Notamacropus eugenii: one gene and its partners. The protein of the gene in region 2 binds, or shares a complex with, the protein of the main gene of each other region. Links are inferred from orthologs where the notes say so. Each region holds a gene or a part of one and is shown on either strand. Other genes may lie near its edges.

Region 1 (7,812 bases), on a different chromosome or scaffold from region 2:
TTATATGTCAGGCACTGGTTTAGGCAATGAGAAAATAAAAAATCAAAGTTTTTACTCTCAAAGAAGGAACTTAAATTCTATTTCATCACCTATTGCCCACTGGAACTTTCAAACTGTATATACAATAAGCATTTCAATACTTCCCAAATTCAACTCTCTATTTAACTTTCCTGTTTTTGATACGGGCACAATCATACATCCAGTCACTCAAATTCATAAACTGAGAATCATCCTCCGTCACTCTCTCTCTTCTTACATATAAAATCAATTACTTTCTCATTCTCCCTCATCCCACAGCTACTATATCCAATCAAGTCTTGTCAATTCTTTCACTAAAACATCTTTTATATCTGTCCCCTTCTATACACCCAAACCATAGTTCAGGCTCTGATCATCTCTTGCCTGGACTACTGAAACAATTAATCTAGCCTCTGATGTTTACCAGCTATGTGATCCTGGGCAAATTACTTAAACTCTCCCTGTCTCAGTTTCCTCATTTATAAAATGGAGATATGAATAGCTGTGAGGATCAAAGCCGTAAAGCACTATATAAATGCTAACCATTGTTGTAATTTCCTTTTGTCTCGGATTTCTCCCTCTTTTCAGTTCTCTACACAGCTAAAACACAAATCTGACCACATCCCTCCCCTGCTCAAGAAGCTTTAGTGGCTCTCTACAATCTATGGAATAAAATACAAACTCCTTTGTTTGACATTTAAAGGCCTTCACAGCCTGGTCCCAACATACCTTTTCATAAATATTACCCTTTATTCCTTTCTACCACAGTATCATCTTAACTCCTCACTTTTTCTCGGTCCTCATAGCCACTGAGTTGTTAAATCCTGTTAATCTAACTTTTAAAATATCTCTTAGGTGTCCTTCTCTCCTGACACTTCCAAAATCCTCTTGCAGGCCCTCATCACCTCATCCATAGATTATGAAAATAGCTACTGGTAGGCCTTAACAAGTATCTCCCCACTCCAGTTTATCCTCCGTTCAGCTATCAAACTATATTCCTGAAGTGCAAGTCTGACCATGTTACTTCCCTACTTAATAAACTCCAGTGGTTCCTAAATACCTCCAGGATCAAATATAAAATCCTCTGTTTGGGTTCAAAGTCCTTTATAACCTTCCCCTGACACACACACCTTTCCAGTCTTCTTCCCCTGTACATTCTTCTCACAATATATACTCTACAACCCAGTGATAGTGATCTTCTTGCTTTTCCTCACACATCCTCACACAAATTCTAACTCCAGTCATTTTCACTGGCTGTCCTCGATGCCTGGAAGGCTCTTCTTCCTATTTCTGCCTCCCTGCTTCCCTTTCACTTTCTTCAAGAAGCTTTCTTGATCCTCATTAATCTTAGTGCCATCCCTCTGAGATTATCTCCATTTTACCCTGCATATATTTTGTTTGCATAATGTTTCAGACTACAAGTTTCTTGAGAGAAGACGGGTTTTTTTGCCTTTCTTTGTATCTCCTAGAACAGTGCCTGACACATAGTAGCCACTTAATGATGCTTGCTGATTTGACCTTCTTAATAAAATCTCCTTCCTCCAAACTGTTTAGTGAATGAACAAAAAAAGCACTTATTAGGCATTTCCTATGTATTATGTGCTTCACTGAGTACTGAGAATACAAAGATCAAAGAGAAATAATTCAAATCCTCAAAGAACATCCATTCTAATAGGAAGAAACAAAGCATATATGAGAGTGGAGGTTAGGTAAGAACAGTTTGGCCCAGAAGTACAAGAGTAGTGAGGGTATTAACTGGACTCTTAAAATGAGATTGTCTTTCCAAAAGCAATTAAAGTATTGATCTGATTGCTGTTCCTAGAGTAAGAGGTAGGAAGAGTGCACGATGGAAAGCAAAGGGCAGCAGCATGAATGGAAGATTAATAGGGAGAAAGTACGGTCAGGGGCATGGGGTCAACTAAATACGATGAGCTTTCACCAGTCAGGGCATTAAGGACCAAAGGTAATAGTTCCAAGTGTCTTTCCTCTCCATATATGTATTTTGTATGTGCTTATATACGTATACGTTGTTTCCCTCCATAGAAGCATAGTTGAAACTGTTTCACTTCTGTCCTTGTATCCCCAGCTCTTAGGTGGGGAATTGACAGGTATGTTTACTGACAGAATAATTAATAAAACGTTATGAATGTCCTTAGGTTACAGTAAAGACCTTTACCTAAGCCCTGTGACGCTTATCTTTTTAAATATATTGATAATCACACAGCAACATAATTATAATTTTGTAATAACTATATAACTTTGTAATCCTATGTTATTTTGTTTTATCCGTTTAAAAAAATAACATTTTAAGAAGAGATTCACAGGTTTGACAGAAAAAAAATTTAAGAATCCCTGGGTAGAGCCTGAGGTCTTAGGTTCCATTCTGCATTCCTTAACTCTGATACTTCCTCACACTAGACCACAGACATAGTCCAATTATCACCACTAGTAGAATGATTTTCAAAGCACGTTTTTACGTCATTTCATGAATGAATGAAAAAGCCTTGAAGCACTTACTATGCGCCCAGCACTGTCACCTCAGTCTACACGTGTAGCTTTAGTTAACTATCTAGACTGTAACAAAAACAAGCTAAGTGATTTAGAGTTCGTTTGCAAACTTCCCGAAATCAATTCGAATTGACCCAGACACAAAGACTGGTAAAGGTTAGGAGGGGCCGAAGCCCTCGGGACAGTCTCTCTCACCCCTCCCCAGGACCTTTCACTCCCCAAGACCCCACGCGAATCCCAAGGAGGAGGGCCCGGGAGGAGGCGGGGGGCTGGTGGAGAGGAGAACGCAAACTATAGATCATTCATTCCCAGCGTCTCCTTTTTACCTGTTTTCTATTTCCACTGGGTCTGCATCAGGCGGCTGTGCCTTCACTTTTACCTCAGCCATGATTCAGCCGGGGGTGAGAAAGCAGGAGCTAGCTCGAACCTCCAGCAGCCTCCCCCGGGCCTCCGCCCCCACCTGGGCAGAAAGGGGCCTTTTTCTCTGAGTCGCATCTCAGCCAAGGACCCTCTTTGAGCTGTCTAAGTCACGCCGGTCCCGTTTGACAATTGGGTGCTGCGTGGTTCGTGCACAGAGTTAACTATTTAAAGTATTTCTCCACACATTCAACGGACTCATTGCTTTCCTTGTCCCCTTAGGCTCTCCTCTTCAATATTTCCCTTCCATAGATCAGGCGAATATTGAAACGCCTAAGACGCTTCTTGAGTTAGAGGTAGGAAGAGAACTAGCAGGATTCTCTGAACGGCTTGGAAGGGGCGGAGCCAGTTGCTAGGAAGCTAGATTTGAACCAATCAAAATAGTCTCCTCGGTTTTGGCTGGTGCTGAAGCGTCTCTGGTAACTGGAGTCCTCAGGACCCGCCAGGTGAGGAGCGGCCGGAAACTGGGGTCAGTCTAGGCGGGCACAGGACACCCCAGGGGAGGACAGCAGGATGGCAACACCCGGGAAGCATCTGGTCTGAATGAATGGGGGGACCCCCTTACCTGGTGGGAACACCTGCGTTTGGGCATGACCTTGGGCATGACCACGACCGAGTTTGGCCCGCCGGCTTCGGGTGTCTGACCCCTATCCTTCCCGCGGCTCCCCGGACTTTCTCTGCGTCCCTGGGGCACATCCCCGAGCACCTGCGCGGACGGCCCCGGGATGCCTGCTGCTGCCAAGCTGGCGTGGGAGAGAGGAGGGCCCGCTGCTGGGGCCTCCGCAGCCGTGTAGAGCCGCCTGCCCGAGGCCCGTCCTGCGTGTGCTTCGGCGGGCGCTTTTAGACCTTTTGGGGGTTCCCCTCGCTCTCGAGGATTTCCCTGCAAAGTCACTGCTGCTGCAGAAAGCTTATGCACGTGTGTAATTGTGGGGAACAGTTTCCACCCCGTCTCCCCCCCCACAGTAGACATATATAAATATATATATTGTGGGGAGCAATTTTCCCCCTAAATCGTTGCTAATGCAGGAAGCTTTGTATATGTGTGTATAAATGTATGTGTGTGGATGTGTGTGTATACATATGTATATATATATATATATATATATATACACACCTCTGTACACATAGATGTGTGTTTGTGTATATAATTATGGGGAACAATTTCCCCACGAAATCACAGCTAATACAGCAAGCTTGTGTGTGTGTGTGTGTGTGTGTGTTTGTCCTTCTTTGCTGAAGAAGACCATGCCGTCAGAGAAATAATGACATGACTTGCACGTGACTTTGACACACATAACAGATGTATATATTTATATATGCACACATATAACTTGTGTATATGTATATACACACACATAGCAAGTGTATTTTGTTGTTGTTCAGGTGTTCAGTTATGTCGGACTTTACTGTGACTCCCATGTACTTTGTGGTATTTTCTTGGCAAAAATACTGGAGTGGTTTGCCATAGGGAACTGAGGTAAACAGGGGTTGAGTGGCTTGCTCAGGGTCGCCCAGCTTGTCTGAGTGTCTGAGGCCGGATTTAAGCTCAGGTCTTTCTGACTCCTGCTCCAGTGCTTCATTGCACTACTAATACTTGTACCCTGACTGTTAAATATGGTATCTGCCTGAAGGGACAATGGAGGAGGCAAAGGCATAGCCAACAACACTAAAATATCTTTGTGGAGTTTTGGAGCCCAGATGTAAAGGCTTCATTTTTGGGAAAACCAGACTTGTTCATCATCCACCATTATGAGCTAGAGTGTTCGTTGCAGGTTAGTGTGTGGTGAGTGGTGTGTTTGTATAATATATGTGTGTGTGTGTGTTTTATTGTTGTTCAATCATTTTCAGTTGTGTATGACTTCATGACCCCATTTGGGGTTTTCTTGGCAAAAATACTGGAGTGATTTGCCATTTCTTTCTCTGGCTCATTTTACAGATGAGGAAATTGAGGCTGACAGGGTTAAGTGACTTGCCCCCAGGGTCCTCTAGCTAGTAATTGTCTGAGGCCAGATTTGAACTCAGGAAGAAGAGTCTTTCTGACTGCAGGTCTGGCACTCTATATACTGCACCGTCTAGCTGCCCTCTGTATATGTATATATGTGTATACATACATAAATACATACGTATGCACACACATATATCACAGCTACTGCATATGTATAGATATATACGTATATAGTGTATATACGTATATATATGTGTATATAGAGAGAGTGTCTATATATGTGTGTATCATAGATAAGTATATACATATAGCTAGTGTATCTGAATAAATACATTTCATAGCAAAGTGTATATCCACATATATCATGGCAAGTGTATATGCTTATATATGTATATACATATCATAATGAGGTTAATTGAATGATATTTTACACCCAACCTGATAAAGAGGCAAAGAAGGTGCAAACACTGTGAGTTTCTTCCAAGGTGCTTCTAGAACAAGGGTTCTTAACCTAGAATCTAAAAACCCCTCCAAGGCACCCTCTAAGGATCCACAAATGGATTTCCTGGAGCCTGTGAATTTGGGTGGGAAAATAAATTACATCTTTATTTTTACCAACCTCTAACGGAAATGTATTGTGTACTTCAATTGTGAATGTAGACAACAATAATATTCTGAGAAGGGGTCCACAAGCTTCACTAGACAGCCAAAGGGATCCATGACACACAAAAAGTTAAGAACCTTTGTATTAGAAGGAAGAAAATATCTTGCTCCAAGTTTGTAGTTTTAATCTGAAGTGAGATATAATTCAGTCCTCGAAGGAAAAGGACATGTGTTGGAATATTTTCCACATTAGACCACATTTTGAATCATACAACTGACCAAGAGGTCTCTGTTTTTTGGTTAGTCATTACAGAAAAGGATTTGGTGAAGAGACTGAAATGTATACTTAAATGTGTATTCAATGCCTCCAATATTGTCTTCCACAAATATGTTAAGATCATACTAGATTTCTTTAATGTTTTTTTTATATCATAGGGAGGATGAGATTTGTGATTTCATTGGTATAAGGAACTTCTGGTGAAGACTATCCCTCTACCAGTGCATAGGATTCCTTTTTAGATTTAATACAATTAACCCAATATTTTGTTGCCCACCAGACCTAACAATAGGGAACAGAAACTATGGGCTGGTGAACTGTCAGGTAGAGTTGAGGAGAGAGGAACTAAGAAGATTGAGAACTTGTGTGGTGCATTAAGGTTTGCAAAGTGCAAAGTGTTATCTCATTTGATCTTCATAACAATCCTGTAAAGTAGGTACTATTATTATCTCCATTTAATGGATGATGAAACTGAAACTGAAAGATTTTAAGTGACTTTCCCAGAGTCACATAGCTAATCAAAGTCTGGAGTAGGACTCAAGCTCAGGTTTATCCACTGGACCGCCTAGCTGCCTCAGAAGGAACAGATCAATACTGTACAATAAAATACAATCAGTGCGTATAATACTAGCACTTTTAACACTGGCTCAGGCAGTGGAAAATGCTTTCTCACTTTTCCAGATAGATATCTTTGATCTACCACTGCTTTCCCATTCTATCTCATATATGTCAATTTTAAATGAATCTTATATGTATAAAAATATTAGAGGAAGAAATCCATCCATCTCTTAACCTCAAACCATACCCTGAAATCTATTTCTGTTGGCATAGTACTAATCAGACAACATGTATTTATTGCACCAGGCTCTGTGCTAGGCCTAGGGATATAGGCATAGATTAACACAAAAAGAAGAAAACAACCCCTCCCCTTAAGGAGCCCTTCTATTGAAAGAGTCAGCATGTATACATATCAATATAATAATAATAGCTAGCGTTTACGTTTAGTTTTAAAGTTTGTAAAGTGATTTACAAATTTTAACTCATTTGATCCTCACAACAAATTTTATCCCCATTTTATAGCCCAAGAAGTTTAAAAATGTAGAAATTAAATGATTTGACCAGGGTCATATAGCTAGTAAGCATCTAAGACGAGATATGAATTTAGGTTTATCCTGACTCCAGGTCTGGGGCTACAATGTATACAAAATAGTTGGTGGGGAAGAGGTGTTAGCACCTAGAAGAGTTAGAAAATGCTTCTTCTAGGAGGTTGTACTTGAACTGAGCTTTAAAAGAAGCTAGGGATTCTAAAGAGATAGAAGTGACATTCCAGACGTGGAGGGGAGGGGCATGTCTGTGCAAAGGTGTAAAAGAAGGAGATAAAATTTTGCATGCAGAGAATACCAAATAGACCTTTTGGGCTAGACTGTGTAATGAGATGGGAAAGGTAGAGTGAGATAGTGATTAATTCTCTAAGGTTAACTTGTATATGATCACAAAAAATCCAGGAAGAAGCTTATACTTTTAGTTAATTACAAAATAGCTCTTTAGAAAGTGGCCCTATTTAGCTAAAGAGATTTAGACATTATTTACATTTATCCTCAATACCTTATGGTGGAGGTGAGCGCTCTGGTTTGTCCCCCATTACTTATTTAGGAGAAAAGATTATGCTGTAGCCATTCCTAAATGTTCTCTTCAACTGCTGAAAGGCAGGAAGGGTAAGATCAAGATGGCACTGGTAGAAAGGAGACAGAAAGAGCTTCCTTCAAGGAGTTAGTCCTTCTAGGAAGCTCTGAAGAGTGTGATACAGATTTTTTGGTTGTCTGGATTGTTGGACTGGCAGAAACCTCGTGTGTGTGTGTGTGTGTGTGTGTGTGTGTGTGTGTGTGTGTGTGTGTGTAAGCCATATTTGTAGAAAATACAGGCTCAGAGATGTATTGGCTATAATGTGATAATTAACAAGTCATTTAACTTCTCAGTACCTCAAACAATTCTCTAATATTACAAATTTCAGATTGGTTGGATCTACATGGTGGAGGGAGTTTCA
Region 2 (7,561 bases):
AAATTCTTTAAGTCACACACAAAATATAGTACAGTAGCTTTTAAAAGTTACAGCTAAAAAGGAGACAGGTTTATTAAAAGAAGGCAGTGGGTATTAAGACAGTGCACATGAGACTTGAGATGGTTGCTATGGAAACAACTGGATTCAAATTTTATTTTTCACAATTCCATTAGTTAAATTATTAATCAAGAGAAGTAGGTAGTCAGAACTTCCATTCAAAGGAAGACAACGAAACAGGTAGAGTCTTAGTTTGAAAACTGATAATTAAGGAAAAACTATCCTTGAAAAGACTTTACCAAAAAAAAAAAAAATCATTTGAATGACAATGGTTTTCTACTCTTGCTTCCCCACCAGTCAAGAGTGGACACAATAAAGTAAAAAGGTACACAGCCAACTAAGGCTGTCATTTCCTGCTATTAGCTCTACCATTTTGTAGGCATGATCGAGAGAAGGTTCTAGAATCATACCCAGTGCTTCCACATATTGAGACCAGTTTAAGGATTAGCTCCCCATCTCACATACATTCATGGGTACAGGCTACTTGCATTTAGTAGTGACCAGAACTGGCACCATTTAAATTGTTATTTCCACCCCACCCCCCACTCCCCGCACCTCCCACCCCCACCCCCATTGTTGGTTTTTTTTTTGGCTAGTAGGTCTAGTGGAATTGTGGAGTTGAATTTGGGTAGGTTAAATGATCATTCCATCCCACTTCTATTAGTTTCCTATTCTCACAATCCAAGGTCTTCTTTGAGTCAACAAGAAAGGCAAAAATCTCTTCAGAAAATATCGTTTTTTATATTCTGAAAATAGTTTTCAATCATTGCTCTCTAGAATGATGAATTAGAATAATTAGAATTAGAATGATCTAAAGATCCATGTGGTAATTAATAATGACATGGACTGAGTTGATGATAGGAGAGATCGTCAAAAAAAATAGTTAACTTGGCATTAAGGATGCTCCATTTGATGTAAGTCATGGAGTATCTCTTTTATTTAAAAGTGCTTGCTGGACAAAGGGCCATAGGTCACTAAAACTACTGTCAAAGGGTCACCAAACTAGGGGTGCAAAGACGAAATCATTAGTTAATTCTGTGGATAAGGAACGAGTTCATGACCAAATTAGGGGGTCACAGGACAAAATTGATAATTTTAATTATATAAAATTAAAAAGGTTTTGCACAAATTAAACCAATGCAGCCAAACTTAGAAGAGAAGCAGATAAATGAGCAACTAAGTTTCTCTGATAGACTTCATTTCTAAGATATATAGGGAACTGACTTAAATTTATAAGAATAAGAGCTATTCCTCAATTGATAAATGGTCAAAGGATATTACTAGGCAGTTTTCAAAAGAAGAAAACCAAGCTATCAACAGTCATATGAAAAAAAATTCTCTATATTACTAATAATTAGAAAAATTCAAATTAAAGTAACTCTGGGATTCCATCTCATTCCCACGGTATTGATACAGTAGACAAATAAGTTAAATGACATGCTAGAGGGTTTTGGGGAAAATAGGTTATGAAATCCAGTCATATTCTAAAACAATTTGGAAATATGCCCTCCAAATTATTAAATTATCTATGACTTTCAGCTCAGCAAAACCACTAAAGGCTCTATACCCCTAAAGAGATTAGAGGGAGAAAAAATACTCATATGCACAAAAATATTTATATCAGCTCTTTCTGTGGCAACAAAGAATTGGAAACTGAAGGAGTTCCCATCAAGTGGGTGATGACTAACAAAATTATGGTAAATGTATATGATGAAATAATATAATGCTATAAGAAAAGGTAAAGGGCATGGTTTCAGAGAAACATGGAAAGACCTGCCTGAATTGATTCTGAGTGAATTGGGCAGAACCAGGAGAACAATTTATACAGTAACAGTGATATAGTGATAATTTTAAAAGACTGAGGAACTATGATTAATAGAAGGCCCAACTACAATTCCAGAGGACTCAGGATGAAACATGTGATAGACGTTTTGGGGGGGGGAGGGAACATGGCCAACTTGGGAATTTGTTTTACCTGACTGTACATGTTTGTAACAGGGTTTTATTTTTCTGGCTTCCTGAATCTGGGGGTGGGGGAAGGAGGCGGGGAGAGAATATGGATTTAAGAACAGTGCCAGAGGAGCAGCTAGGCACAGTGGACCAAACACCCACCCTGGAGTTTGAAGGACCTGAGTTCAAATGAGACCTCAAGCCACTTACTAGCTGCGTGACCCTGGGCTTTATCCTGATTCCCTCAAATCTGCCAAAAGCGTCTGGCCAAAGATTGGGGAATGGCCAAACAAATTGTGGCATATGAATGTAATGGAATATTACTCTGGTGTAGTGGTCTGAGATCTGGCTTTGGGGAGAGACTTCTGTTCAAATTTTGCCTTGACAAATGTGACTATGGGTCGGTGAGGAAGTCACTCAACCCTTCAATGTACCTAGCAAAACAAGTTACAAAAAAGAAGCAGAGCCAAATATGAGATGGAGGAAGTCACATACAAATGTAATCACAGGCCCAGATAGGAAAAATGAAAATCATAAGATTCTCATTAGTATAGACCTGCAAGCAAGGGTTTTGTAGATGTATTCCTCCTTGGCAGTCTGACAAAGCCTATGGCCCTTTTCTCAGAATGTTTTTAAAGGTATAAAATACATAAGATTACAAATTATATTGAATTATATTGAAATAAGGCTGTAATTTTTCTCCCATCTTAAGAATTTCTGACTGGAAGTCCCCTTAAATGGTATCTAGTGCTCCTAAAAAAACATTCAGGCTCAAGAGCTTTAATTTGTTCAAGGTCACACACTCAATGAAAGGTGGAATTTGAACCTAGGCTCTCTCATTTCGGTGCTGGTGATTTTTAGACAGTTATTCTTTCAACAGACATAAGGTAAATGGGGTCAGAACTGGATGTCATTTGGAGATAAGGAATAACCTGGGAAGACTTGGATTAACTGAGGCAGAATGAAGAACCAAGGAAACCTAGCCAACGACTACAAGAACGTGAATAAATAACACTAAAAAGCATCAGAATTCCGATTAAAAAAGCAATAACTTGTGTTGATCCTAGAAAGCAAATAAAAATATTTCCCTTTCGAGTAGCAATGGAAACTAAGGGTGGGGAATGCTGCAAACGGTGGCTATGTCTTTTGGTTCCAAGGTAGGGTCTGAAAGAGGAGGGAGGGAGATCTATGTCGTGAAGAGGCTGAGGAGAAAAGAATTTTTTTTTCCTTAAGTGACTGGAAATGTCAAACAGGTGCTCAGAATGGGAATGAGTGGGTGGAAATCTTTCAGGAAATTCAGTCTCACAGCCTGTGGCATTCCCACTGCACCAGGCTAGGGAAACTAATTAGGGGGCGGAGCGTCTTCCACTCCACTAGTAGTACATTGTATCTCTACTGTAGCAGAGCGCTTTCCCCTCCCCTCTGCAGGGCCCCGGGAACCCAAAGGGCCTCTCCAAGGAGCTTTTCTCCTTCCAAGGGAAGAAATGGAGACAGGTGTCATTTGGGTGACTTGGCAAAGGATCTCCCTCTCTTTCACACACACCCCCCCCCCCCCCGCCCTCCGTTTGGTTAAGCTCACCAGGGCTCTTCCAGGCCGCATGCACCCTCCCCCTCCCTTGGCGCCCCTCTCCCCACGGAGGGGCCAGCGCTCCATTACCCTCCTGCAGGATGTGGGTGGGCTGCACCGCTTGCACCCGAAACTGCCTGGCGTTCCAGCCGGGGCTCGGAGCCCGCACCACTTCGCTCTCCGACAGCCAGGTCGCAGTCTCAAAGTTGTCCCCGCGGGCCAGGGCGTCCGCCTCGGCCCGGTGCACCGCTACCTGGTCAAACTGGTAGAGCCCACCGGCGTGATCGAAGTGGACGTGGGTGGCCACGGCCAGCAGCGGCCGCCGCACCAAGTCCTCCCCTTTGTCCGGGTCCTGCAGGAGGCCGGCCGAGTACAGGTACTCGGGCAGGCTTCGAAGCCCCAGGCCGGTGTCGATCACCACGTCCTGCTCCGTGCCGCGCACCAGCCAGATGTTGGCGCGGTTGCCCGACTCGAAGAAGCGCTCCTGGATCCAGAAGATGCCGTCGCCTAGGGACTTGTGCGCGTACCATTCCAGGGCCGACATGCCGGGGCCGGGATGTGAGGCGGGAGAGTGCGGGAGTCGGGGGGCAGGGGCGCGAGCAGACACCAGTGCGGCGGGGCCTCTCCCTCTCTCCGGGCTGCGGACACAGCTGCAGCTCCCACAGGCGGTCGGCGCCGTCTGGAGAGGAGGAGGGCTCGGCGGGGGCTCAGGCCAGGGGGGCTGGGCGCGGGAGAGGCTGCGCTGCCCAGGGCCAAGAGGAGGGGCGGGCGAGGGGCGGGGGTGGGGAGGTGGGAAGGACGCGCCAGCAACCGCAGCCTGGACCGAGCCCCCCGCGAATGGGCGTCGCGGGGCAGCGCCTTCCAATGGCAGCGCGGAGCCCACTGCAGCAGGGAGGGCGAGCGCCCACAGCGGCACCTTCTCGCTCCACCCTCCTCACCCTGGGGTGGGTCCAACTGCAGCAACGGCAGGGAGGGGGGAGGCAGAGAGAGAGACGTCTGCAGAGCCACAGGTCCCGCGCGAACGCGTGTGAGCGCGCGTGCCCGAAGCTCGCGGGGGCCGAGCGCGCCTGCCAGGGCTCGCCAAGCCGGCCAGGAAAGGGTGGGGGCGAGGCTGCTCGGGCAGCAGGCAGGGCGCCTGCCCAGGGCTGAAAAAGCTTGCTGTGCAGGGGGCGGGCCTGGGGGCGGGGCCAAGAGGCCTCAGCCGGCTGGAATTTGAATGCTGCTCTGGAGGGGAAACAGAGAAGGGAGGGGTTCAGTTTGCTTGGAGGTGGAACCCTGCGACCGGGAGAGGCTGCACAGGTAACCCAGCACCCTTTGCCTGCCAGCCTTCGTGGGCACACTTGTGAGTTTGAGAACATAAGCAGCCCCAGCCAAGCCCGGCCAGGGAGGAGAGGTAGGCGATGGGGACCTTGAGGGGCAAGGGGAGTTGATGTGGAGCCTAAGGAAAGGGCTCTCGGTTAGGAGAAGTTAATTGAAACCTAGCCCCCGGCCAGAAAGAAGTTTGGACCCCTCTGCCTCTTTCTGTTCCCATTAAACCCCAAATGTTCTGTAATGATTCTTATCTGATTGTAACCTGGGTCCCCCTTGCTGGGCTGACTGCTATGAGATTAGAAAGTAATTTACTCATTACTGAGGACTTTGTGGGCCATTAACCGCGTTATATGGACATAACCTTCTGTAGGGAAGGGATTTCCCCTCCTAGGTATTACTGGTCACTGCAGCAGGCTTGCAGCAAAGGGTAGAACATTTAGTATCTCTTTACTTACCTGTCAGCACATTAAACCGTGGCATGAGGTGAGGAGGGCTGCCAAGCTCTAAAACAAAATAAGATCTATTTTTTACACTTTTTCATGGTTGGAATAAAAGCAAGGCAAGGGGGATGGGAACTGGAAGAGGCTGAGCAAAGTAAGAGAAGATAGCTGGCAAAAGATGAATTGGGGAAGACTGGAAAGGGTGGGTGTGGCCCAGTTAGCCTCCTAAAAGAACTTTCCCTTTAACCTGCTCTCCCTACCCTCCTCCCCACCTATTGGTTGACTACACCCACGGAGATTTAGAAAATTTCCCAGGATTGTGGCCTGAGGCTGACTTTGGCCAGAAAAGCTCTTCTATCCACACAGCATTCTTGGGCCCTCCCAGGATTGAGAGTTTCTTGAAGTCTGCAATATGCAGTCATAAAAGATAATTATACGAACTCTATTTTATGGAGACAAATACTAACATGCCTCTCTGTTTGAGGAAGAGTATACTATTATCAGGCTATAAACTGCTTAGGATGACTTTAGTCATGATGGAGGTGTGGACTGGAAATTTTGTATTTACCTTTCTGTTCATATTTTATACCCCTTTAGAAAGTCAAGACAGCAAGCATTTATTAAGCCCCTACTATATGCCTGCCATGTGCTAAGTGGCAAAAGAAAGGCAAAAAACCCAGTGCCTGCTCTCCAGTAGCTCACAGTTTGATGGAGAATACAAGAGAGGTCATCTGAAAGTTGTGAGATGGTGGCCTCGATTTTTTTCAGTGAATATTATAAGTTCTCAGCTGAGGTAGAGGGGATAGGAGATCATTAGAGACTTGAGGAGGGAAGAAAAGGTTTAGAATGGATTAGGGAGCAGGACATCCTCCCTTTCTTTTTTTGGCCTGCTTTATACATAATAGGTAACTAATACCAATCTATCAACAAACCTTTATTAAGCCCCAACTATGTACCAGACTTGTGCTAAGCACTGTGGATAGGAATTGAGGCAAAGAGTCTTTGCCCCCTAGGAGCTTACAGGCTAATTAGGGAGAGATAGCATGCAGATATATGAAAAGTAAGCATACAGTAGGAAATTGTTAAGAGGAAAGGCACTAGAAATAAGAGGGGTCAGGAAGGCTTCCAGTAGAAGAAAGAATTTTAGTTGGAACTTCAAATAAGCTAGAAAGGTCAGTAGTAGGAATTTTGGAAAGAGAGAGTCCCAGGTATTAGGGACAGCCAGAGAAAATGCTCCAAACCAAGAAATGGACTGTTTTGTTTACAGAACAGCCAGGATGCCAGTGCTATTGGATCAAAGAGTGTGTGTTGGGGAGTAAGATATACAAAGACTCGAAAGGTAGGAGGGTTTAGATTATGAAGGTCTTTGAATGCCAAAAAGGTATTTTTTATTTGATCCCAAAGGCAATAAGGAGTCACTGGGGTTTTTTTTTTTGAGTGGGGAGGTGATATGATTGGACTTGCACTTAAGGAAAATCACTAGCGTCTGAATGGAGTATGGATTGGAGAGAAGAGACATGAGGCAGGCAAACCCAGCAGGCTATTAAAATGGTCCAGATCTGAGGTGATGAGGGCCTGTACTTTGGTCGTGGCAGTGTCATTGATGAGAAGGGCTGCGTTCAGGAGATAGTGAAAAGGTGAAATTGATAGGCCTTGCTAACAGGATATATGAGTGAAAATAACACCTAGGATATGAGGGATGATGTTGACCTTAACAGTGATCCAGAAGGTGAGGGACCGGGAAGGGTTTAGGGAGAAAGTTAATGAGTTCAGTTTTGAACATGTTTAATTCAAGATATCAACTGGACATCCAATTCTAGATGTATGAAAGGCCTAGGGAGATTCAAGATTGGAGGTCAGCCAAGAGCTTGGGGCAGGATAGGTAGATTTGAGAGTTATTAGCATAGAGATAGTCATTAAAATCCTTGGAAGCTGATGAGATCACCAAGTGAGGCAGAATTGGAGAAGAGAAGAGGGCCCAGGACCAAACACTGAGGGGACACAAGTTGAAGGGCTGATCTGTAAGAAGATCCAGAGAAGGAAACAGAAGGAGTGGCCAGATGGGTAGGAGGAGAACTCCGAGGGAAGGATGTCCTACAAACCCAGGAAGAATTATCAAGGAGGGGAGAGTGATCTAATGTCAAAGGCTGAAGAGAAGTCAAAGAGAATGAGGAATGAAAAAAGGCCACTCGATTTGGCAACTAAGAAATCACTAGTAATCCTCGAAAGAACAATT
Region 3 (7,695 bases), on a different chromosome or scaffold from region 2:
AGGCATGATTCAAACCAAGACTCAACTCACTCTACCAAAGGGGTCCTTCCACCAATGACACTCACCCTAGAGAACAGTGAGAAGCTAGAAACTCCAATTCTAAGAAACAGCTAGATGAGTATCACTTTCTCTTTCTTGCTAAATGAGACAATAATTGATCCATTTAAGGAATATTCCCGGAAAAGGGAAAAAAAGTCACAACCCATCAGATCATGTTTCCATCCACAGAGATGGATTTGTGGGCACTCGATCCCAAAGGTACCCAAGCCTTGTCACCCCCTCTTTCTCCTGTAACTGACACCCAACACTCAGCCTGAGGCCTCCTTCTGTCTCATGGACCTCAATGTCTTGAGGGCACCTCCAACTCCACAAGAACAAAACTGAACTCATCATCTTTCCTCCCAAATCTTCCCCTCTCCTACACTCTGCATTCCTGTCAAAGGCCCCTCCATCACCTTGGTGACTCCTCACTCTTCCTCACCCCTCACTGCTAAACAACTTTGAAAGACGTAAGAATTCTGCTCAAAACAACAATAGCCCAGGATTCCAGACGTTGAAAAACACTACCCACCTCCTGACAAAGAGGATGGAAGCAGGCTGCAGATGGACAATGTGGGGATTGTTTTGAATGACTGCTGATTTGTTACGTGGGTTTTGTTTTCATTTTTTCTTTTTTTTTTCCTGATGGAAGAGAATGATGGGAGGGGAAAAAAAGTATATTTTTGTTATTTTTAATATTAAATTTTTTAAATATACATTTTAAAATATACATTCCACAGTGTCTACATTAACAGCAATATCGTACAAGGATCAACTGTGAATGACTTAGCATTACACATATACTCTCAGCAATGACCCAAATGACCCAAGACATTTCCAAAGGACTTATGATGAAAAAGGCCGTCTGGCTCGAGAAAGAACTGACGGAGTCTGAATGAGACCAAAGCAGACTTTTTACATTTTTTCTCGGGGTTTTTTGATCTGTGTTTTCTTTTGCAACCTGGCTAATATGGAAATGTTTTGCACAAGTGCAAAGTCTCTATCAAATTGCTTGCCTTCTCAGGGAAAAGGAAGGGTAAGTAGGGAGAGAATTTGGAACTAAAATTTGTTTTAAATGTTAAAAATTATTTACATAATTGGAAAAAATAAAATATTTAAATATATACATACATATATATAATACCTCTACACACACACACACACACAGAGTGCAATGAATAGCACATCAGCCCTGAAGTTATGAGGACCTGAGTTCAAATCCAGCCTCAGACACTAGCTGTGTGACCCTGGGCAAGTCACTTAACCCCCAATTGTCGTGTGTGTGTGTGTGTGTGTGTGTGTGTGTGTGTATGTGGACATGTGTATATACTAGGATCACAGATTTGGAGGTCAAAGGAAACTTAGAGGTGAAGTCAATTCAATAAAACAACAAAATTAAGTAATCTATTTTAAGATAACAGAGATAAGTGATGAAGCAGAGAACTCAGCCCCATGTCCTGATTCCAAATGCTGTTTTCCACTGTACCCCCACATATAGTGCTGGTTATTCCTTGTTCTCACCTACTATACATATACACAGGGTACTCTTACATTAAGAGTCACAGAAGGTAAGATGGGCAACCTATGTTACAGGTAATCTTAAAGTCTTTGCACAAACAAAACCAATGCAGCTAAAACTAGAAGTGAAGCAGGTAAATGGGGAAGAAAAATATTTGCAGTTAGTTTCTCTGATAAAGGCCTCACTTCTAAGTTATATAGAGAAATGATTCAAAGTTATAAGAATTGATCATTGATTCCTGAATTGATAAACCAAAATAAAAGGAAATGAACTGGAAGTTTTCAGAAGAAATCCAAGCCATAAGGGGGGGAAGAGACTCTAAATCACCAATAATTGGAAAAATGCAAATTAAAACAACTTCAGTTCCATTTAATTCACTGGAGAAGGAAAGGGCAAACCATGCCAGGGTCTATACCGTCAACATGGTCCATGGGGTCACCGGAAGAATCAGACACAGTAACAAATGTAACAACCTCACACGCATCCGATTGGCAAACATCCAAAACAGGGAAACAAGAAATAAGAGGTACATGAATACACTATGGGTACAATGGAGAACTGTCCAGCCTTTCTGGAAAGCATGTGGAGTTACCCCCAAACTGTGCGTACCCCTTAACCCAAAGAAATTACTACCAGCTCTACCCAAAGAGGTCAAAGAGGGAGGGAGAAGGTCCAAAACACCAAAAGGCTAATTCTGGGGTGGCAAAGAGCCGGAGCCCGCAGGGCTGAACGGCTGGACCAGTCAGTCATATAGTGCGGATGCCAAGGGGGTGGAAGGAGAAATGAAGCTGGGGTTCCCCAGAAAACTGGGATTGGCAGTAACTGATACCCAGTGGAAGGGGCAGAGCCAGCAGCCCCGTCTTCACGATAACCCCAGCCCACTTGCAGCTCCGAGGCAGCAAGGCCCACGGACGCGCCCCCCACGCCCTCCTCCCTGACCACAGAACGCCCACGGACCCACGCGGGCTGCAGGGGCCACACCAGCTCTTGGGCTATTACAAAGGAGAGGGAGGAACAAGGCAGATTCTGGCTCATTTCGGAATTAAACCCCCTGCCTCTGAGAACAGCACGAGAGCCTCCCAGGACGCCTCTCCCCAGCCCCTGGGGCACACAGGAGGGGTTTAAGGAGCGCGGACAAATGCACGCGCGTGCCAGCCCAGGAATGCCCACGCACGGGCACGCACAAGTGCACGTGGGCACCGACACGCCCGCACAGCCATGCGGGCACACTCCGCCCTCCTCCCCCAGCCCGGGCCTCCCACGCGTGGGGCCGCCCACTCACACTTCCATCGTGGCCCCTCCTCCTCCGCGCTCTCCCACGGCTCCGAGATCCCGGGTCCACGCTGAGCTGCAGGCCGCGGCGCCGGCCGGGGGCAGGGCACCCGGTGCACGTCACGGGGCCGCCCAGCCTCCGCGCGCGCGCACGCACGCCGGGGCCGCCCCCGGCAGCACGCCGTGCCCTCCCTTAGCTACGAGCCCGGAGCAGCAGCGCCCAGCCCCCTCGCTGTGGCCGCAGGGATGGGCGGAGGTAGCAGGAGAACGCCCTCGACCCCCTAGCCTAAGCCACTCCCCTGGTTTGGGCTGAATCAGGCCGAGATTGCTGCTGGCCCCAGATGCCCGTGGAGTCTGGCACTCAGGATCAGTCAGTAAGCGATAGTTTATATCAATCAGTCACCATTTAGGAAGCTCTGCCCTGGGCCAGGTGCTGTGCAGGAACTGGGGTTGTCCTTCATTCTTAAAGGTGAAATCAAGAAGGTGATACCATGACATGCAAGTGAATTGGATTTCAGTGAGGCAGGGACTCACTTTCTCCTCCAGAGCCATCTGGGTCCAGTGGTCAGATACTGATCAGGAGGACGGGAGATGGCCCAGGATGCAGTGAGAGACCTGGACCTTTTTAAGCTTATGTCAGAGCATGTCTGAGGCACTTCAGTGATGAAGGCTAGGTAAGAAATGAGCAAAGAATGACCTCTTTTAGCTAGTCCAAAAAAAAAATCCATCTGGAAGGGGAAGGCCCTCAGAGTTTCTGGCCAAAACAGAAACAATTGCTATTTATATCTGCTCTGAGCGAGAAGAGGCAAAAATCAGTCCCAGCCCTCAAAGAGCTTACCGGGCACTTAATAAGTCATTGGTGGACTGAGCCTCCCACTCCAATACTTTGCACTAGTGGGGGGTGGGGATGGAGGATAGTAGGTACTTAATGTTTGTTGACCAATCCAGTATTTATTAAGCACCTAGTTTTCTTCCAGGCCAGAGATACAAAGACAAAGAAGGAAAACTATCCCTACACTTAATGATTTGATTGATTAATTAGAAGGTAGAAAGAAATATGGACAGGAAAGAAAAGAAAACATTGCCTTCAGAGAGGTGAGATGGGTTCATAGACTTGCATTTTGAACTCTGTCTTCCTGTGTTTTGGGTCAGAAAGTCTTCCCATTAAAGCAACCAAGCAAAGGAATATGACCCAAGTCTGCCTCAATCCTCTGTCCGTTTCAAACTTTCTTGGAGTTTTTGCAAGTCCAAAGAACACTTAGCTAGTCAGTGCACATTTCTTTTCTCCCTGCTAGATTGTAAACTCATTGAATGCAGGGACCATATCTTATCCAAACTTCGAGTCGCTGTCATCTAACCAAGGGTTCGTTGGCTGAATGGAAGACCTTGCCTCTGTTTATCTTTGTCTTTCCCCAATAATTCTGGGTTTACTCCCATAAGCACAAAAATTCTATTAGAGGAACAGTCTTCTGCACACTTGTTTGCCTTCTTACATGAAAAATCTATTACTCAATCAGTGGACAGAAACCATTCAGAAATGATTTAAATGCCAAATCTGAGGGAGCTGGTTGAGGCACAGAGAAATCAGATGACTTACCCAGGGTCACCCAGCTTAGACCCATAGATTTAGAGTGGGAAGGGTGGCAGTGGTCGGGTCCAACCCAATTCCTCACTTCAAATTATCAGGCTTTTCCACCATATTGATCCAGCAGATAAGGCATCATTCGAACGCATGTCTTTCCTTTTCTAACCTCAGCACTCCATCTGTTATGCCACAGCAACTTCTTCCTGCCTACTTAAGCAGACTTTGGGGGAGAATAGTAATTGCTAATATTTAGTGTTTAAGGGTAACTTAGATTACTACATATACACATATCTACACTTTACATACATTATTTCACTTGACAGGGGAGGAGCAAGCGCTGTTATTATCTTCATTTTACCGAATCGTAAAACAGATCCTGAACATGATGAGTCTTTTTATTAATGGCTCAGGGTCATCAACACACAAGACCTAGTGGAAAGATAGATAGAACTGGAGTCTTTTATACTGTCAGGATTAGAATCTGGACAAGGCACTTAACCACTGGCCAGACCCTGATTCACTTCAAATATGCTCTCAGATACTTACTAGCTGTGTGACTTAGATCACTTCACCCTTTTTGCCTCAGTTTCCTCATCTCAAGCTGAAGAAAGAAGTGGCAAACTACTCCAGTATCTTTGCCAAGAAAACCCCAAATAGGGTCACAGAGACAAGACTGAAATGACTAGACAAAAAAAAGTAGGTTTTTAATAATAGCTGGCATTTATATTCAGATTCAAAGTATGGAAAACATTTTACAAACACAATCTCATCTGATCCTCACAATAACCCCATAAGGTAGTGTGTGGGATGGTTCAGGTCCCTACATAAATCAGTTACTCAGAGGCCTCTCAAAGTGATGACAGAAAAGAGATTTATTCGATTCTCGAGAAGCGGGGCTAACCTGTAGGAGTAGGAAAGACAAAGACAAAGAAAAGGGCAGTGATTTATATAGACCCTAACACAAGTCCCTCCTCCCCCCACTGACCATTATCCTCATTAGCTGAGAATATGATCTTACATTCTAGACACGAAATCTAACCAATCCTTTTTGAAATGAAGACATTGAGGAATTATGTGAGTTTTGTCCAATCATTGAGACCCTAATACACTACACAGTTTTATATCCTTATATGGAACTATTCTATTCTAAAAATATTGTAACCTTGAGCCTTTAGGCCTTACCTCACCCCTGGAAGAAGAATTACAATCTGAGAAGTCTTCACTAAACCTATCCCACTCAGTAGGATGTTATTCCATTTTTACAGATGGGGAAACTGAGGCTTGGGAAGGCTAACCATCTTGCTCAATGTCACAAAGCTAAAGTGTCAAAGTCAAGAATTAAACCCAGGTTTCCTGGCCCAAATCCAGGGTGTTTGTGAATAATAATAATGACAGGGACAGTTGGTGGCACCATGGATAGAGCACTGGGTCCAGCATCAAGACCTAAGTTCAAATGCAGCCTCTGATGCTTTCTGTCTTTGTAACTCTGGGCAAGTCATTTAACCTCTGTTTGCCTCAGTTTCTTCAACTATAAAATGGGGACAATAAAATTGCTTGCCTTCTCAGTGAGGGTGTTGGGGAGGGAGGGAGAGAATTTGGAACTCAAAATTTTAAAAACAAATGTTGAAAATTGTTTTTAAATGTGATGGGGAAAAATAAAATACTAAATATGTAATACTTGAAAAAAAATAAAATAGGGATAATCATGGCATGACCCTGAACAGTTTTAGCACAATATTTGGCACCTAAAAGGGCACTATGTAAATACTTCTTTCCTTCCCTTTAAATTATTAATAGCTATCATTAAATAGCACTTTGAGGTTTGCAGAGCTCATTACAAATATTATCTCACTTGATCATCATAAAGGAGGGCTGACAAGACAGAAAAACAAAACTTTACCTGCCTTCAGGGAGTTTATCTTCTACTGGAATAAAAACTGGAACCCAGGTGAATAAATATAAAACAGTTGGTAGAGGGGAAATGAAAAAAGCTTCCTTTAGGAAGTGACTTGTGGGCTCTGGAAGAGAGCTTGGGATTCCTGGAAGACAGGAGTTGAGAAGGGAGTTTTTCCAGACTGAGGAGATCCTCTATCCAAAAATATGATGGAAGGCCAAGTATAGAAGGAAACAGTATGGTCTGGCTACAGATTAGAGTGTGTGGTGGAGGAGTAAAGTGACATCAGTCTGGAAAAATCCGTCGGGAGTAGATTGGGGTCTTGGGCATTGGGACCTTGAAGGGACCTTGAAAGGACCTTGAATGCTAAATTTTGAGATTTGGATTTTTTTCCTAGAAACAAGAGGGAGCCACTGGGACTTGTTGAGCCTCGTGGTCATATCAAGGACATCAATTTGGCTTGGATGCAAAGGACAAATTGGAGAGAAAAGGCAGGCCAATTAGGAGGCTTATTGTAACGTGGTATCCAGCTGAGTCAGGTCCATGACAACTCAGAAAAAAACAAGTCCCCAGGACTGACTTACTTCCAGTGACATCTCATAGATGGTGTAATCACCTAAGGGCGTTTCATCGAACCTGTCACCCTCGTGTGCGCACAGGGAGGTCAAAGACATGATCCCTGCCCTCTCTGCTTACGGTTGAAGTGTACCAGGCTGGCTCTGAGGTCAGTGGTTCAGGCACAAGAGAGGACGAAGCCGAAGGCCAGGTCAGACAGATGAATGGATCTGGTATTCTCAGTGGCTACATTGTAGCTGGTTTTGCATGTGATCCTGGCCCATAGCAACTTCCAGAAATCTTATAGAAAACAATGTCGGGTAGCCTCCGAACCTAGGGCCATGTCTGAAGCTGAGCAAAGAGTACAGCATGGGAGAGCAACGTGGGGTAGGGAAAAGAACCCTGGATTTTGAGCCAGAGGCCCTGGGCTCAAATTCCTGGTCCTCCTTTAAGACTTTGAGAAAGCCCCGTAAGCGCTCTATGCCTCAGTTTCCCCATCTGTAAAATGAGGGGGTGGACCCCTGAGGTCCCTCGCAGCTCCAGATCTGGGGTCTGAGAGGGGAGGGTGGTTTGGGTCCAGCTCCATCTAAATGGAGAAGGTGGGAGAAAGGCGGAAGGAGGACAAGGACCCAGGAGACATTTTCCAAGTCAGCCTGGGAAGTTCCCAGATGGCGAAGTCACACCCCGAAGCGGGCAGGCAGATTGCATCACCGTCCAGGCTCTCCTGATGGCCACACAAATATGGGAGGCGCCGGTGACGCCCAGGGACAAGAGGCGACCCACTGCAAGGGCAGGTAAAGCCGCCAGCCCCTCCTCCACGCAGTGAAGGCC
Region 4 (7,872 bases), on a different chromosome or scaffold from region 2:
ATCAGACATGTTTCCTGTGTAAGTTTTATTTAACCTTTTTTTAATGTTATAAGAGAAGGCTCACTGAGCGGAAGGCTAGAAAGTATATCTGGAAATGGCTGTGACAGAAAAAAGCATCAGAAATATGAGGGTTGGTTGCTGTCATTTAAAGAAGGTGCATCACCAGGATGACCACATGATGATGAACTTTTTGGCCATATCAACTCAGGGGTTACAGATTTGCTGAAGTGGAGCGAACACCCAAAGAGAAAAAAAAATCATAGCTCAGAGAAACAAATCTACATATAGTCCTCCTCATCATCTATAAAAAGGAGTGTAAACTCATAGAATCCCTCTCTTCCTTTGTAATGCTACCCAAGAACCAAGTTCCAAATGTAGCCTTTCCAGATCCTCTCAATTATCAGGGTCCTCCCTGCCAGACTATACAGTCATTAACACTTTGTATCTTTTCTCTTCACATTTACACTGTATCCTTGGTTTTTTTTTATTCTTAGTATCTCCCTCAGTGTCTTCACCGTTGGCACTTAGGAATGAATGAACTAGAGAATACAAGAAGAAATAAAACCAAGTGCCCAGCTGTATGGTACACACACTTCTACAGGGGATAAAGTGCTCAAAAGGAAAGAAGGTATAATGGAGATTCAGTATTCAGCTACCCTTCTGCTATTCTCTCTTTCTGGGGTTTATATTTGGATGTTTCTACCTTTCTCCTGAATAGTCAACTCAATGTACCACCTTAGTAACCACTTTTCCACCCATCCTAGCCAGGAAAGCTTAAGTTTTTTTAAAAATCTTTTCCCTTTATTCAAAAAAACAAAAACAAAACAACAACAACAGAAAACAGCCTCTTCCCAGCCTCATGAACCCTCTGTCTCCAAGGGGATCTTGAAGAGACAGAAGGCCTGGAGAGCACATACCTACCTGCCCAGACGGGCAGATGTGGGTTTGCCCTGGGAGCCGTACACCAGCAGCCAGGTTCTCCTCTCAAATGTCAGTACCAACTGAAAGAAAAAGAGGCATGAAGAATAACACAAAAAATAAAAAAAAAAAACAAACATCCTGTCCGCGGCAACTCATAGAAATTCATAGCCAGGGCCACTGCCCTTCTCGTCTGGCTCTCTAGCGATCTGCTTTAGGTCTAGACTAGTCAGACAATGAAATCAGCCAATTCTAAGTTACCAGGAATGGAGAATTTACAGCATGACACCAAAGCTGGAGCAAGCTCAGGGATGCTGAGATCTCCAGAAAGGAAGTAGACCTGTTCCCTGCCATTCTCATAAAAGCCAGAGATCCAGAGTTGAGGTCAAACTATCTTGCCCTGGTCTCCTCTGACTCTCAGCCATTTACAAACCTGAATACTTTGCTAGTGTTAGACGGCTTGACCTCTAACCCTAGGAAAGGTGAAGAATGGGGAATTTCTGCTATTACTCCACATTTGAAAATGATGCAAATATTTTTAAGAAATCATGAAAACTGAAATGGGCTCCGGGAACTAACATGGTCAGTAATCTCAAACCCGGAGACTGGACCAAAGAACAATTCTCCAGGATTAAGAGGGGATGTGTACATGTACTTTGGGGAGGGGAGCCAGAAAGGAGGAAATCCTAAAGAACCAGCCTGAACCAAGGGGGGCATCGATCGCACAACCTCTAGGGTTTAACGATGGCAAAAGGGCAGAGCTGCCACAAACTGGCGGCATGACTTTGAACAGGTTGGCTTCTCAATAAGAAGAGGTCATTGGACCAGAGAGTGCCAAGGCCTCTCCCGGAGGTCCAGGATTCTAAGGTGATCCTTGGGTGGAAGGATGGTAAGATGGCAGAAGGGCAGCTCTCAGGGAAGGCTACCCCGAGGGGCGTGCTCTCCACCTGTCCATGCCACCATCTGCTGGGCTCTCTTTCTAAGGTGCTGCCAACACCACCTCTGCCCCAGGACCGCGGGAAGTGCCCCGTCCCCACTCTGACTCACTTATTTCTTCCCCAAGTCAGCCCCCCACAGCTGTCACCGGCCGTGGAGACCTAACCTCTCAAAGGCAGGTGTCTCCAGGAGAGGGTGGCACCGCTGGGTCACCTGGAGTTACCCACTGCCTGCTGGGTCAATGGGCAAACTCGGCCTCCCCAGTTCCAAGCCCCCCATCTCGAGGATGGGGGTCCAGCCCAGTGGGAGCCCCCCCACTCCTGCCCTCCCACCCCCATCCGCCGGCCTCCGCACCTCCTGGAGCAAGAGCGCCCCGGGGTGTTGGGTCAGAGGATGGCCAACCCCCGGGAGACCCCACCCCCGACCGTGGGAGCGGCAAGGGAGCCACCCCGGGCGCCTCCCCACAGCCCTGCACAGTCACCCCGGTCGCGGCCCCCCTCTCAGGCCCGCCCTCCGGGACGCCTGGACCTGGGCAGCCGCAGGAGCCCGCTCCGGGCCGGGCCGGGCCTAGCCCCCGAGCACGGCCGCGACGCCTCCTCCGGCTCCAGCGCCGCTCCCCGAGGACGTCCCCCGGCCCCCACGACAGAAAAGCTCTCACTCACCGGGCCCGAGGACGTCGGGGAGGGGGCGGCTGCAGGGGGAGCGGCAGGGACGGGGGAGGAGCGGGAGGAGGAGGAGGAGCGGCGGGAGGAAGCAGGAGGCAGAAGCGGCAGCTATCTCCGCGAGCTGCAGGGGCGGCGGCGGCGGCGGCGGCGGCGGCGGCGGGCCCAGCTCTCTCAGGCAGCAGCCATATTGCTGGTAAAACTCCAGCAGACACGTGGGGGGAGTTGGGTCCTCCCCCGGCTCTTCCTCTTACCCACAATGCCCCGCCCCGGAGCGGAGCAGAGCGGAGCTCTCCCCACTCTCCGGGCCGCACTTCCTCTCCGGACCAGCAGGTGGCGCCGAGGCACCTCCCCCTTTCCTCGCCTTCTCTCCCTTCCGCCACCTTTTCTGCACCACCCCTACCTCGGTGCCTGGAGAGGAGCGGCCCTTCCTCGCCTTCCTACCACCGATAACTTCTGCTCGCAGGCCGCAGGTGGCGCTGGAGCGCGGGGGAATGGGGAGAACCAAAAAAAGCCACTTTCTGGCAGCGGTGGGATTCGAACCCACGCCCCCGAAGAGACTGGAGCCTTAATCCAGCGCCTTAGACCGCTCGGCCACGCTACCTAGATACAGAAGGCGGCTTCTTGAGCTCTAGTCAATCTATGACAGTGAGTTGTTTTGTTTTTTTTTTTTTGTTTTGTTTTTTGGACGCTCTAAGAGTCAGAGCTTCCCGGAAGTAGAATTCATCCTCCTCCAGCTTCCGGATTTTAGCCCTCCGTCTCCTCTCTTGCGCCTCCCTCCCAGACCGTTAGTCCCCGGAGGACAAAAGCGGCTTCTTTTCGCGTCCTTCGGGCCAAACTCCAAGCCTGGTGTGTCCTGGATCTCGCGTGGAATCGAGCTGTCCGGTAAAGACTGACTTGTTGTTCTCTCTTTATAAATAAAAAATATACATCTTTTTAAAAAGTGCCTCCCATTTCTTATGAATGTCTTGTTTTAAATCTCATATTATCTCTCTTTTCCTCCCCTCCCCTTTACCCAGAGAGACAAACATTAGGAAATAACCAGCCGGCTCCGCCACCCCGCGCGTGGGTGCTTGTCCCCTTCCGAGGCTGGGAAGGGGGAGCCCTTCTGGGGCAGGTCTTCAGGGCCCTTTCACAGTGTTTTCCATTCGCATGACCGCACTCATGTGTGCTGTTTTTAGCTTACCCCATCCCAAATCAGACAGCTCTTCCTAGCATTCCCAAAAGGAGAACAGTAAAAAGTAAAGGCCATGTGACCTTTAGAAAAATCTAAGTTAGAATAACTGAAGTTCCACTTCTAGCGAAGATGACGGAAGGCAGAAATGGTTGATGTTCAAGAGGCCGGGAAAAGCCAGGGACAGAGCGCGCTGTCAGAGGAGCTGCGCGGCGGCCCAGCCGTGCTGGAGGGCGGTTTGGAATGATGCTGAAATTGACCAGAGTGGCCACACCTCGGCGCCCTGACAGCCCCGCCGGCCCAGGAAGGGAAGCTTGCATGTATCCAAATGGTCAAGCGGCACTCTGCAGCAGGGAAGAATTGGACGCAGGGACCACCGTTTGGAAATTTGTTTTTGCAAATGTGGCACATGAATGTAATGGAATATTATTGCCGTAAGAAAAGAGGAATATGAAGGTCTGTGAGTGGCTCTGTGAACTTCTCATTTGATTTGGAAAGGGATGCCCTTAGGTAAGGTAGACACTGTGCCGTTTGGCTCTGGTTCCTTGATTAGATGAAAATACTTTCTGTTGGGATCCTCCATCAGAACAGGGTGTGAACAGGGCCTGTGTACCTCTTTGAATCAATCAAAGCCATTGTGTTAGAGACTTCCTTAAGAAATTTGTATGAAAGGAAGAAGTCAAGACAACAAGCATTGATTGAACACTTAATTGTGAGATGTTGTGTAAGCCTATAAAGAAATGCAGATCTATCTATCATCTATCTATCGATCATCTATCTATCTATACACACACACACACACACACACACACACACACACACACACACACACACACACACACACATACATATATATGACTTGAAGGTAATCTCAGAAGGGAGGCATTAGCATTGAGGGATATGAGACTTCTTGACTTTTACCTGAAATTTAAAGAAAGTTAGGCAAGCCAGGAGGAGAAGGAATATCCCAGGCATGGGAGACAGCCAGTGAAAGTTTTGGCATTAGGGAGATGAAATAGCTTGTTTGAAGAACATCTGTCTGAAAAAGAGAAATAGATTTGGAGCAAATAGGGGAAAGGAAGAAATAATCTGTACCAGAAAAAAAGAAAATAAAGAGGAGAGTTATTGGTTCAACAGGCATCACAGAGAGGAGGAGGGCCCAGGCTGAGGGAAATCCAGAGAAAAGGACATCTCTGTCCCAACTTCCCTTGTTGAAGCCACAGTCACTATAATATTATATGATGTTTCATTACCCATATTTTTCCAGTAAACTGAATTTTGCCTCACCTGCAAAGAAATCAGGGATTAACGAAAGATAGACTTAAATGTAATAGAGTAAATGTGAGGCAGAGAGTATAACTCTGCCCAAGTGTTAGGGATTTTCCTAACTGGGGACTCCAGAACAATTATAACTGAACTCAAAACTTGCCATCTAAAACAAATTCCATAGTACTAAAGGGGATTTAACAAAGCAAACAAAGAAGGTACCAGGTGGACATTTGGGGCCAATAAATTTCCCCCATTTCCCCATAAAATGAGATAATTATTGTGAAGAGGTATTACATCCTGGTTGGTACCTTGATAAATGCTTGAGTATACCAAAATATTATGAGAGGATAGTTCATATTCATGTGTGTATGTATGTATACATATACATATACATACACACATATATTCAATTCCAATTCAATCCAATAAGTTTATATTAAGTTCCAGTCACTGTACTAGGTGCTGGGTATACAAGGACAAAAAGGAAACAATTCCTGCTTTCAAGAAATTTATAAGCCAGCAAATTCTTGACAAATGAAAAGTACATATATACAGATGATCCCCATATTTCGAGTTTAGACAGGCTGAAACCAGCCACTCAGAGCTTCCCAGAGAGCTGATTAAGCTCTAGTTGACCTACTTCATTACCCTAATTTCACAGACCTGTTTGAAACTGTCAAGCTGAAATGTCCTCAAGTCAAAAATGAAGCAGAAGCCAGAGAATATAGGAGGGTGACTCCACTCCATAGGATGAGTTAGGGCTAAAGCTTGAGTAGAATCCAAGCAGAGTTCCCTGTGCTCAGTAGACTAAAGTAAGAATCCCTGTCTTTGCTAAACTGGAGTTATTAAAGAAAAATATCTAGGGGAGAATCTGGTGATAGAGGCAAGGAGAACAGAGGAGATAGGGGTCATTGCAGGGGTGTGCTGGAGCTAGTGTTTGAACTATTTAAGTTTGATTAAATTTTCAGTGTGAGAATTTATGCCTCAGAAATCAGCAAATGCTATATATTTTAGATCTTGACCTATTGCTTTATTGATTATCTGGACTTAAGAAAATGATAGAGAAAGTGTTAATACTGAAAATTAAACTTGAGTATGTTCTATGTATATTTTTTTAGAGAGCAGATTGTTAAACACTTAACAAGAGGATGTAATGGCACACATCTTTTTGATTTTGAGTTGTGGGAATGACACCAGAAACTATCCCTATCCCATTCTTCTCTGGATCTAATCACACTCTATTCTAGCTTCTTAGGCTACTTCTGAGCTGCTAAGGAGTGTCTGAGAGCAAGGACTTGACTTACCTGTTTTGAAATTAGCATGAAATATATAGTTGCACAAGTCACTATAATGAGACATCATTGTCACCATGCAGGCAAGAAATGACCTTGTGATGGTCGAAGCCCAGACATAATAAGGGAAAACCCAGCCAGGGCAATTTTGTTATTCAGGTCAAGCAAGACACGGAAGGAAAGAAAGGGGAATTTATTAAGTATCTACTACATGGTCAGGCCCTGTGCTAAATGATTTGCAAATATTATCTCATTTGATCCTCCCAACAACCTTAGGAGATAAGTGGTATTATTAACTCCATTTTAAAGTTGAGGAAATAAATAAAATAATCTTGAAAAAAGAAATAAGAAAAATAAAGTTGAGAAAATAGAGGGAAACAAAGGTTAAATGACTTGTCCAGGGTCCTACAGCTAGTAAGTGTCTGAGGCTGAATTTTACCTCTTCAGGCCCAAAGCTCAATCCACTCTGCCATTTAGCTCTTACCATCATGTCTCAATTTACATGAGAGAGGAAAATTCCTTAAAAAAAAAAGAAGTCATGTAAATCAAATGGAATTCTTTGACTTCACTTCTGATTAAACCCAACACTTTAGCTTTCAGTTTCCCTGCTTTTTCCTCTACTCTCCTCCTATCCTACAGCCTCCTTCAAGTGATTATTGCAAAAACAAGCAGTGAACTACTCTCCTAGATGAGTTTTACAGTAAAGATGCCTTTTAAGATCAACATATATTTATTGAACACTTTCTAGTGTGCAACTGTTGAATGCAGTGACCTAGGACTGTGAAATGCAAAGATATGTGTATCATACAATCTCTGTTGTTCGCTAGCAACAACAATCTTAATACACTATTCAGATGTTAGTTATTAGTATTGCCATATCAAGAAAATAATTAGTCCCTCATTTGCCTGTTTTTAACATAAAATTTTATTTGAGTCTTTTAAAAAACATATTTCCCACAATATCCTCCTTCAAGGAACCATCCTTTGTCACCAAGAAAAACAGTTTAAAAAAACAACAGACAACCAGCCTTGTTCGCTGCTCCTGTACTCCCCTACCTGAGAGTTATTTAAGGGAGGGCTATGTTCCTTCATTTGTGCCCTGGACCCAATATTGGTCATTAGCTGTAATTATTTTACCTGATTCTAAGCAGTATTCTGAGTTTCCTTTACAAAAAAAAGCATGGGGAGAGTCAGTCAACAAGTACTTATTGAGTTCTTACAATGTGCTAAGCACTACACAAATAAAGAAAAGCAGAACAGAGGTCCATTCCCTTAATCATGAAGGTAGTTGCTCAGTGGAAAGAATTTCTGGCCTGCAGTCAGGAAGACCTGAGTTCATATCATATTCAGATACTTACTACCTGTGTGACCCTGTTTAAGTGATTCCCCAAATGGAGTCAAGAACAGTTGGAAGGCCCTGGGATAGTGTTGGAGGAGGACTGAGAAAGGCTTCCTGCTGATGGTGGGATTTGAGCTGCATCTTCAGTCTAAATCAGGAGGCAGAGGGCATGTAATTTAAAGATTTTCCCTGACAATTAATGGGCCTCAGATTAGGGGAGGCTTGTTTTGTAGAAAGGCTCACATCTTTGTTAATTGCTAATGAGGCACTGGGTCACAAGAT

What was found.
Region 1: POLR3G (region 2) and POLR3F share a complex: the UniProt entries of both Homo sapiens proteins name them as parts of the RNA polymerase III complex. The link is inferred for Notamacropus eugenii from reciprocal best matches to the Homo sapiens genes POLR3G and POLR3F.
Region 3: POLR3G (region 2) and CRCP share a complex: the UniProt entries of both Homo sapiens proteins name them as parts of the RNA polymerase III complex. The link is inferred for Notamacropus eugenii from reciprocal best matches to the Homo sapiens genes POLR3G and CRCP.
Region 4: POLR3G (region 2) and POLR3E share a complex: the UniProt entries of both Homo sapiens proteins name them as parts of the RNA polymerase III complex. The link is inferred for Notamacropus eugenii from reciprocal best matches to the Homo sapiens genes POLR3G and POLR3E.

What each region holds. Positions count from the first base shown.
Region 1 is NC_092872.1:593,328,048-593,335,859, reverse strand, and holds the start of POLR3F (DNA-directed RNA polymerase III subunit RPC6), read right to left. Parts: upstream 3,014-7,812; 5' UTR 2,915-3,013; coding exon 2,853-2,914; intron 1-2,852. UniProt on the Homo sapiens protein: DNA-dependent RNA polymerase catalyzes the transcription of DNA into RNA using the four ribonucleoside triphosphates as substrates.
Region 2 is NC_092875.1:450,149,652-450,157,212, reverse strand, and holds the start of POLR3G (DNA-directed RNA polymerase III subunit RPC7), read left to right. Parts: upstream 1-4,557; 5' UTR 4,558-4,790; coding exon 4,791-4,873; exon of another isoform or gene 4,874-4,967; intron 4,968-7,561. Other genes in the region: acyl-coenzyme A thioesterase MBLAC2, read right to left, coding at 3,665-4,118. UniProt on the Homo sapiens protein: DNA-dependent RNA polymerase catalyzes the transcription of DNA into RNA using the four ribonucleoside triphosphates as substrates.
Region 3 is NC_092873.1:43,130,586-43,138,280, forward strand, and holds the start of CRCP (DNA-directed RNA polymerase III subunit RPC9), read right to left. Parts: upstream 3,001-7,695; 5' UTR 2,849-3,000; coding exon 2,841-2,848; intron 682-2,840; exon of another isoform or gene 572-681; intron 1-571. UniProt on the Homo sapiens protein: DNA-dependent RNA polymerase catalyzes the transcription of DNA into RNA using the four ribonucleoside triphosphates as substrates.
Region 4 is NC_092874.1:396,629,048-396,636,919, forward strand, and holds the start of POLR3E (DNA-directed RNA polymerase III subunit RPC5), read right to left. Parts: upstream 3,003-7,872; 5' UTR 2,920-3,002; intron 2,656-2,919; exon of another isoform or gene 2,517-2,655; intron 1,002-2,516; 5' UTR 922-1,001; exon of another isoform or gene 918-921; intron 1-917. UniProt on the Homo sapiens protein: DNA-dependent RNA polymerase catalyzes the transcription of DNA into RNA using the four ribonucleoside triphosphates as substrates.